2 linked regions of the Drosophila melanogaster genome follow. The protein of the gene in region 1 interacts with the protein of each later gene in a biochemical or structural test. Each region holds a gene or a part of one and is shown on either strand. Other genes may lie near its edges. The genes, in order: Tao and msn.

The links.
Region 2: of the proteins of Tao (region 1) and msn, one has a biochemical effect on the other in vitro, tested with the Drosophila melanogaster proteins (one study listed by BioGRID).

What each region holds. Positions count from the first base shown.
Region 1 is NC_004354.4:19,576,495-19,581,407, reverse strand, and holds the start of Tao (Tao), read left to right. Parts: upstream 1-1,607; 5' UTR 1,608-2,010; intron 2,011-2,905; exon of another isoform or gene 2,906-3,506; intron 3,507-3,813; 5' UTR 3,814-3,913; coding exon 3,914-4,143; intron 4,144-4,208; coding exon 4,209-4,713; intron 4,714-4,913. Other genes in the region: CG14218 (uncharacterized protein), read left to right, coding at 1-412, 474-862. UniProt on the Drosophila melanogaster protein: Serine/threonine-protein kinase which regulates the Hippo/SWH (Sav/Wts/Hpo) signaling pathway, a signaling pathway that plays a pivotal role in organ size control and tumor suppression by restricting proliferation and promoting apoptosis.
Region 2 is NT_037436.4:2,583,235-2,588,502, reverse strand, and holds the start of msn (misshapen), read left to right. Parts: upstream 1-1,962; 5' UTR 1,963-2,100; exon of another isoform or gene 2,101-2,237; intron 2,238-2,248; exon of another isoform or gene 2,249-2,466; intron 2,467-2,764; 5' UTR 2,765-2,820; coding exon 2,821-2,898; intron 2,899-5,268. Other genes in the region: RpL8 (ribosomal protein L8), read right to left, coding at 1-419, 613-750.

The sequences.
Region 1 (4,913 bases):
CCACCTGCTCCGATACGCATTCGTAAGCCCATCTGGCATCCGTTCTTCAGTTCCGGTTTCCTGCCCGGGGCCTTCGATGTGGACTACGCTGATCCTCCGGCACCACGACCTCCAGCGCCTGCGCCGCCCACTACACAGCCACCTAGACGCGTCCGACCGCAGGTGCGACCACGTCCACGCCCAACGACACTGGCACCGCCTCCTCCGCCGAACTATGACTACGACTATGACTATGATGCGCAGCCAGCGGCGCCAGCTGAACCTCCACCGCCTCCACCTCCTCCGCCGCCGCCCACAGCTCCGCCACGCCCAAGGCCACGGCCGCGCCCACGACCCCAGCAGCCCGATCCTCAACAGCGGCGTCCCGCCCAGCTGGGCGACCGCCTTATCTATCAGTACGCACAACCTACTGGTAAAATACGAAACCTCTTAACTAACTGCCGTACAATTGGGTTCTCTCCGACACTTTGCAGATACCTTCTTTAGGTCGCGAGCCGTGGCGGAGGCGACGGCGGCGGCTGACCCAGACAGCGGAGACTTAGTTGACTCCCAGGACCCGGACTCAGTTGCCGATCCGGATGCGGCTGCATTTCCTGTCACTGCAGATGGGCCTGACTCCCAACCTGCTTCTCCCCCACCAAGTGCTTCGCGATTTTTGGTCAACTACGAGAGCGATGACGACTTTGGGCAGCCGTTTGCTGGACAGCGGGCTCAGGATGCGGGTCAGGATGGGGGTCAGGATCAGGGTTCAGCGGGTGCTTCTGGTATTCCCGCATCATCCCAAGGCTACTTCCCGCCCCTCGAGCTTGGCAACACGAATCGCTTCCCAACTTTCAATCAGCAGCAGTACTTCTATAATTAAGCGGTAGAGTTTCTCATTTTTCCAACGTGGGCAATAAAATTAACTTCGCAGCTTGATATATTATGTGTATGTACATATGTATAGCTTATGTGTTGCAGTGTGCTTAAAATTGAACATAAACTATTTTAAATATAAGCATCCATTTTTTTGTATTCCCAGTTTGCATAGTTGTAAATAACATATCAAATAAAGTAATAATGTAAGTTCCCCGTAATTTATATTAACTAGGAGGGCGTTAAATAGCTAAGTAAATACCGTATCATGAAATTATCAGTATGTTTTCAAAAAGTGCGCCAAACTTGTTGCGATGAGTATCGGTATTTGACTTAGCGAACTGAGCTATTAAAAAGTTATTAAAAATTTGATACATATATGTGTTCTTCTAACATAGATACCCAACTGCGATTTCGTGAGCTGTAATTCTGCAGAATTCTGTATAAGTTAAATTATTGATTTTCAAACATTAAAAAAAAAAACTAATAATTCCAAAACGATAGCGTAACCACGGACATCACCACCCGGTGCACGTTCGATAGACTATCGATAGAGACCAAAAAACGAACCTTTTCTCTTAAAACTAATTGAATTGAGCGAATTCAACTATAAAAACGCCTCTGCAAGAGTTAACTTCGCAAACATATTGAAAAAAATAAGTTAATTTTAAATATATCGCCTAAAATCGGGATTTTTTAGTAAAAAGCGGTCAGTGGTAGTTTTTGGTTTCAAGCCGCTCGGCTGATCTGGTAACACTGTGTGCTGTGTGAACGTGAACTTTACGGAATTTAATTAGAGAAACGGGTGAAGAAAAGTTGCAAATAGACAATCGCTGCCAATTTTCCATGCCGTAGATGGGTGCATCTGCGACGTAACGATCCCCCGAATTCGGTGCTTGGCACTCGAGATGTGTAGCCAGTGCGGATTCGTGAACGCAACGCGTGTGCAGTGCAGGGCAATAGTTGCCATTCCCAGTAGCAGTATCACTACCACTACCAGTCCCATTCCGATTCCCGTTCCCAGTCGCAGCAGGGCCAATAACAGCAGCAGCGGTCGTAGGGAAAGCGACGTATGAAAGGGAAAAATGCATACAGATGCGAAAAGCGAGACCCAGTTGCGCCGATAAACAAGCAAGCACTAATTGATTGCCAAATGTAAGCCCTCGAACGCAGTGGAAAAAGTTCAAACGTTTTTTCTTTTTCGCCTCGCCAGATTTATGCATTTTCCACTGTCTCTCCATCCCTGTGTGCGTGTGTGCCTGTGTGTGTGAATGCGTATGCTCGTGTACGTGTGTGTATGTGCATACTGTTCTTTTTCGCGTTTGCGTTTTGGCCAATAAATGCGAATTTCTTGTGTGCCATCTGCCCATTGAATTAACAATGTGGTATTATCATTGATCCCACAAATTTCAATCAAATACAGCGCATTTGCGGGTTCTGAGTGCTACATCTGATTTCGGTGCGACGACTCCCTCAACGCGCGAGAACGGGATAGCACCAGTCGAACCATACGAATGTGTGTGTATTTGTCTGCTCCCCCGACGAGCGTGAGTGTGTGTGTGTGCAAGCAAAACAAAATTAGGCGATTCAAAACAGTTGCAAAATGCAGCGAAATAAGCCAATTTTAATCGCAACACATAGATCAACCATGGTAATCAGTCAATAAGTGGTCAGTCAACGAAGAAAACCAACAACTGGCGCAGCATCACCGCCTTCGTGCGTTCTTTTTCGGCTCCTTCGGTGTGTGCCTAGTCCGCACCCAAGGAAAAGCCAACCCAACTGAAAATCAATTCGAATCGCAGAACTCTTTGGTATTCTACTACAATTCCCTGTGACGGAGCGCCACAGCACAGTGCAAGCCACGGAAAAGGCACGAATTGAATTGAATTTGTGTCGCCCGAAATGCAAAACAACAAGCAATCCCACCGCACATATACATATAGAGCGCGCGCGTGAGTGTGTGTGAGCGACATGGCTGCTCTTTGTGCAATAGTGTGGTGGCTATGAAAAATAGGCGTGTTTCTGTTTCGCGTCGCAGGCAAAGAATTGCAGTCGCCGCACCACAGCGGACTAATTGTATTGAGAATTTTTGCCAGGCGGCGATAGGCGAAAGCCGGAGCTCCGACGGGGGCCAAAATCCGCGTCTTTAGCCGGCGGATATCCGCAGACGCCCGCAAAACGCCTCCGCATGCACAGACATGCATACTCCAATGTATGCATGTGTGTGTGTGTATTTGGATTCGCAACGGCGATAAATGCACCCCTTTGGTGCCGTTACTCCTTGGCAGCTCGCGTGTGTTTGTGTGTCAGTCGTAACGACCTTTGATTACCCTGCAGCACGTGTGCATACCCTACACCTAGCTAGTTAGTCCAGCTTGACCACAAATACCGCCCTACTGCACGTGCGCATCCACTCCACTCATTACTTGTTCGAAATCCAAGCAAATGAACTTAACGGCGTTAGTCATACCGACTGCCAAATGCCCTAGACCACTTACACCCCAGCTGTCGTAATCTGGCCAAAAAGCAGCTGACAAGTTGGTAACAAGCTGAGGAAAATAGCCTGGCCATAAAAGACGGTGCCAACAGTGAATATATTTGCGATAAGGCCGTGCTGCGTGCGGAATTCGGAGTTTTGAATGATTCGTACAGTATGTGCGAGCATGAATCACTTGATCGATTTGATGATAGTCGGCTTTTAGCTGTTCCCATCCGTCCGTCCGTTTGACCGTCTCCCCATGCAAATGCTGACCAAAGCACAGTGCCCACTGTCCACTGGCCCAGCCATTCCCGCTACGCCCCGTGCCGCCCAATTCAATTGGTCCGCAGTCTCAGCGTTTCAGCCTGAAATCCCCCAAAAATGTCGACCCTTTGAACATGACTAAGTGACTGGCGCAGGCTGTGAATGTGACTGACTAACCGGAATCGCCTTTTTTTCGCCCCACCCGATCCGCACAGAACTTCAAGACAGCAGAGTAGCCAGCTGGAGCTGCAAGCTGCGAGGAGAAGCACGCAGGTCGACCACTGAGAGAGCTGGGCTAGAGCATGAAAGACAGCCATGCCTTCGGCACGACCTGGTAGTCTCAAGGATCCGGAAATAGCCGACCTATTCAACAAGCATGACCCGGAGAAAATCTTCGAGGACCTGCGCGAAATCGGCCATGGGTCTTTCGGCGCGGTCTATTATGCGCGATGCAACCTCACCAGGGAGATCGTGGCCATCAAAAAGATGTCGTACACCGGCAAGCAGAGCCAGGAGAAGTGGCAGGATATTCTCAAAGAGATACGGTGAGCACTGGCTGACACTTGCGTTCGCCCGAGTGACTTCTAATCAATTTATGTGTACACAACAGCTTCCTTCGCCAATTGAACCACCCGAACACCATAGAATACAAGGGATGCTATTTGCGCGAATCAACCGCCTGGCTGGTGATGGAGTACTGCGTGGGCTCCGCCTCGGACATCATCGAGGTGCACAAGAAGCCGCTGCACGAGGACGAGATCGCCGCCATCTGTCTGGGCGTGCTCAGTGGGTTGAGCTATCTGCACTCGCTGGGCCGCATCCACCGTGACATCAAGGCGGGCAACATCCTGCTCACGGACAACGGCGTCGTCAAGCTGGCCGATTTCGGTAGCGCTGCCATCAAGTGTCCGGCCAACAGTTTTGTCGGCACGCCCTATTGGATGGCGCCCGAGGTGATCCTGGCCATGGACGAGGGCCAATACGACGGCAAGGTGGACGTGTGGTCGCTGGGCATCACCTGCATCGAACTGGCAGAGCGCAAGCCTCCCTACTTTAACATGAACGCCATGTCGGCGCTCTACCACATTGCGCAGAATGAGTCGCCGACTCTTCCGGTGAGTAGCAATCGAAGTTTTAATTTCTTGGTAGGAGTCTGTTTTGATAGCAAAACTGAAGTATGCCAATGTATTTATTTACGTATCGCTCTCATGTGTCCCTAGTGTTATTGTTTTATTTCCCACTTTTGGGGCTGGGGCAAGTTATATTTTACCCATTTGTATAGTAGAGCCTCCAGATTCTGCTTAAAAAAGTGTTT
Region 2 (5,268 bases), on another chromosome or scaffold:
TAGGCACGACCGGCCTTCAGGATGGGCTTGTCGATACGACCGCCGCCGGCGACGATGCCAACCATGGCGCGGTTGGCCGAGGGCACGACCTTCTTGGCGCCGGATGGCAGCTTGACACGCGTCTTCTTGGTGTCCTGGTTGTGGGCAATCACGGTGGCGTAGTTGCCAGAGGTGCGGGCCAAACGGCCGCGATCACCGGTCTTCTCCTCCAGGTTGCAGATGATGGTACCCTCGGGCATCTGGCTGAGGGGCATCACGTTGCCGATCTGAAGGGTGGCCTTGCGGCCGCAGTACACGAACTGGCCGGTGTGCATGCCCTCGGGGGCGATGAACAGCTCCTTGCGGATCTTGTAGCGGTAGGGGTCGCGGAAGTGGACGACGGCCAGAGGAGCGCCACGGCCGGGATCGTGGATGATGTCCTGAAACATGGAAGAAGTACGATTCGCTTAGTTACACTTCAAAAGCAGTTAAGCCAAGTGAGCTAAGTAACTTCTAGTAAGCTGGCACAGGTGCTCAAGCACGTCTCTTGAATGTGGCATGGCCAAATGCAAGTGATCTCATCCACATTAAACGGATAGGTGTAGTTGGTGATCCTAGGAGCACGTTACTCACCTTGACAACTCCGCGGATGTAGCCGGAACGCTCGGCGAAGTCCAGGGAACGCAGCTTGGCGGCTCCCTTGCGCTTCTTCACGTGCGCCTTGAACACGGAACCAGCTCCCTTACGCTGTGCACGAATAACGCGACCCATTGCTGCAAGACAAATTCACGGGATTAGTACTCGAACTCCATATTGCAAATGCGGCGGTTTCACTAAATAAGATGGCCATCTTCAATGCAACACGCTACGGAATTTCGATCTTATTCGAATATTTTGACGGAAAATTGAAATATTCCATGTTACACGGTTATAATGTTAAATTGCGCACTGTAAACAATTTCCGCAATTGAAAACACCACCAAATTTACAAAATTTAGCACGTGGCTTACCGTAAAATTAAAATTGCCCAATACGACCACTCCGGAAACGGGGCGAAAAGAAAAGAAAAGAGGAAGACATCCTAGAGGTGGGCAGGGAATAGTGTGGCTGTGTTTGGCGTCTGGCGTCGTGACTAACGTGCTGCTGGGGAAAGAGCTGTTTCTCACTGCTATTTTGGGTATTCGCGAAATTGTTAATTTGCTAATAATAATAAATAAAATAATAAAATTTATCATATTAAATCTTCAAATTCAGTTTTCGGAAGTTTTACTAATCAGTAGCTCACTTGCCCAGAAAATTTGGTTTGATTTCAATCTTCGCAAGGTCAATTTCGCTGAAATCTGCTTTACCTAATCGAAACGTTTCTAAACTGGATAATTTTAATATAAGTTAATCGATTTTATATATGTATATAATAATTCAATTAGATGTATGAATAATTCGAGTTGAGCTGGAAAGTTGTGTCGAGCACTTGCCAATTGGATGAGAAGTGAAAAAGGCGACCCAATCAGAAATAAAATAGAGAGTGAAAAGAAACCAGTGGAAATATTCCGAAGCCGAAAGATATTTTGGACTATGCTATGCGTTCCACTGGCGTACATTTTTAGACGTCTTTATTTAACACATCTAATCTTCGACCATACATATCTTATTCTTATATTCCAATTCTGATTATTATATAACTTTAATAGGAAATGACTCAACGATTTGTGTTACCCTATGAAATAAAATATTAAATATGTTAATATTTTTTATTTTCCCAGCCTCTTTTTTCTAATTGGAATTAGTAAATGTCTATAATCTAATTTATTGATTACAGTTGCAAATTTGTTAATTTGCTATTCTGAAAGAGAAGAATATACGGGCACACGAATTGGCCTTTTACGGCTCGATATGTTTGCGGTATGTGCGCAGAAATGAGAACGGTAATCGCGGGGTATTTTTCAGTTCGCGATGGAATAAGCTGCCATCGGCTAATTGGTCACACTGTTGGAATCCGTCGGGGTTTTGGCGTCGCGTAAAACGGAAAACCGTTCTGATTTTCACTGAAGTTGGGAAATTGAACTGTTCAGCTGGTTGTGCGATGCAAAGGCGATAGGCGCCCATCGCTGTGCGTGAAGAGTACGTATTCGCGGTGCGCCAGTGAAAATCGCGAGTCCTGCGCGAGAACGCAAAACGCAATCGGGAGGAAAAAGCGAGTGGCAGATTTTTTCTGTCTACCTACACAAACACATACGCAGGCTACTGCACTGGTGTGGGTGTGTGTGTGAGGCTGGTCCATCGGAGCGCCGCAAAAAAAATATTGAAATTGTGCAGTGTGTGCGAAGTAGCAGATGAATCGGCAGTGATAAATAAATGGTTTAAGGGCGAGAAAAGATTTTATAAAGTGCTGGGGAATTAAAAGAGCCGCGCCCCGTTTGCCAAACGTTAACTAACACACACAAACACTCCGTCACAAAACACACATACGCACGCAGAGCCAGAGCAGTGAGAAAGAGAGATGGAGAGAGACAGAGAGCGAGAAGAAGAGCGGAGAAGCGAAAAGAGAAAAGTTGTATGACAGCAACAAATAGTTTGTTAATTGCACGGGTTTTTTATTGTGGCATTTGTCATTTAGAGCGTATAAATCTTAAATCGCGGTAAAGTGCGTATAAATCTAAAATCGCAGTAAAGTCCTGCGGCCGCTCCTTCTCCACTCTATTTCTCTCCCCGTTGTTTTGTCCCCTCCCCCCGTTCACCGTCTTATTTGCATTTCTCCTCTCTCCACCTCTTTCTGCGTGCGAAGAATCAGCAGCAGCAATTCTCCAGATCCAGAAGAACAAAATAAAATAGCAAATCAAAATGGCGCACCAGCAGCAACAACAACTGGCTCCATCGGTCAACTGTTCACTGGACGATATCGATCTGACGGCCCTAAAAGTGAGTCAATAAGCTGCGGTTATCCATCTCGAATGGAAATGGAATACGACTAGAAATAGAACCAGCAGCAGAGCCCCCCGAAAATAGAGCCCCCACATTGCCCCCTCCCCATCAGCTATATTCATTAACAAGCCTCGCCCGATTAACGGGAAAGTGACCGCCCCGTGATTATTTTCCCAGGTGTGGTCGTTTACACTCCAATTTCCGTTCGTTATTTGTTAGTTCGATTTCACAAACTATTTACACTATCTGAAAGGTTTCACAATCGATTAGTTTCAAAAAGATGTAAAATATACCGAGATGCAACCAATACGAATTCTTTTTTTTTGATATTATGATGAATTTTTTATTTTATATTCCTGCAATTCGCAAAGAAGCCCCTTTACTCAGAACTTGGTTCCAAAAATACCCCACAATATCTTACCCAACTCGATTGGCCTTTCCAGTCGTCAAACCCTCGAAGGTTTCCCCCGCACATTTATGCAAATTGTTTAAAAGTACAACAAAAGCGAGTTCTTTTTCTTTGTGTTCTTCCTTTTTTGCACTTTGCCATGGCAACGAAAAAAGGTTTTTTTTTCTGGATTTCCGTTCTCCCCCTCGAAGCAATCACAATAATAATCGAGTTGATAACTGCACATTGACATTTCGATTTCATTGCCTGACAAAAAACCACCCAACTTGGCACCACCCACCCTGTAAGTTTTGAATGTGAGAGTGGTGTGCGCAACTTTTGACCGGCCGGTGCCACCTTCTCCGCTTTGCCAAGCTATTTTTTGTTTCGCTTCGTTTCTCAATGAATTTGTCGAGTCTTAACCCCCTTTCGGCCGCCTTAGCACCCCCCTTTAACCCCCCTGTGGCCGCACGCACTGCCGCATGCGTTTGTTGCCTTTCTCTTTCACCAAACATTCACCACTCTCAGCACTTTTGGTGGCGGAACGGAACTCACCACGCCCGCCGGCCCCACGTTGGGCGCCATCTCTTTTGCTTTGCGCACCCACCGAAAGTTCAGTTTGGCACAAGTGTGTGTGTGAGTGTCCGTTTGTTGACTCTGCCTGGATGTGGTGGGTGGTGGGGGGGGGGTCAATGTGGAGTGGGCTGGTGGTGGTGCTTGGGTCGTCGCCTCGCTGCTACGGCATGTGCGCCGCTGTGGTTGTGTGTGTGCTTCACCCACAGATGAGGCCAAAATAATAGGCTTTAAGGCGGCCTTAAAAAAGGGATGTTCCGTGAAGTTCTATAAATTAAGTTAGCACTAAAAATCTGGAGTCAAATTTAAGAGATCACAGCATTAGTTTGGGAAGAGTTTTAGTTGGCTTTCGTACGGATAATATTACTTGTTTGTTCGTATACATGAAAATATACATATACAAACAAGTGTATTTTTCGGATTAAAGGCTCATTGCCGATTGACTTATATTCACAGTTCTTTTGAGTAGAACGAGGCTCCGCAGGCACTATTATTGTAGCCCCAACTGTTAACCCGTGTGTGTTTATGAAAAATTGTTCATAGTCGATGCAGAGCGACGAAGACGAGACAAAAACGAGACAAGAATGAAAATTGTTTAGTTTACTTTATTAAAAGGCGGCAGGCAGAAGCGAGCAGAGCAACACCATGCGTGCTTTTGTATCTATGCGAGTCGCATGTATCTGAATCGCTGTGTGTGTTTGTATCTGCGCTGCAGCAGACAGCTTGAAGATGGCGATAATGTGGACTCAAATGATAATGATGATGAAAACGATGATTAAGATGGGGCACACACACAACACCGGCTGCCAAGAAAAGCGGCGACGAACCCAAAGCAAAATCAGCAAAAATGGCAGCAGGCATGAGAATCATGAATTGTGATGTGTGTCTTGTTTGAAGTGTTGTTTTTATTTTTGTTTTATTTCTGTTTGGCCTTCTCCTCTCGGTGAGGGGCGCTAAAGTGGGCGTGGACGTGGGCGGCCCCTCGCCTGCATGTCTGCCATATTCCGGTGACCTGTCTGTGCGTGGCTTTTAAAGGTCATTAAACACAATGGCCGAGAGAAGAGAGATGCGATAGCTGTGGAATGTCCCGAAATAGAAAACGACAAAAGGTCAGAGTCCTTAAAGCTAAGGTTCTTTCTCTCGAAACTGGCTCGCTTTGTTAGGCTTCCGTTCTGGTTTCTGTTCACTCGATAAGAACTCCACTCCCCTCCACTCCTTGTGTCTGATAAGATACCACAAGCTGCATTCATCAGCACAAATTTCATTAATTATTTCTGGTTTTTACGACTCCCCATTTATTTGTATTTGGTGCAGTTTCTTTTATTCTCCACTGATAAGCATTCAAACGCGGTTCGTCTTCATTTTGGTGTGGCTTCCACTTCTTTATGTGTATTTCACTCGCATGT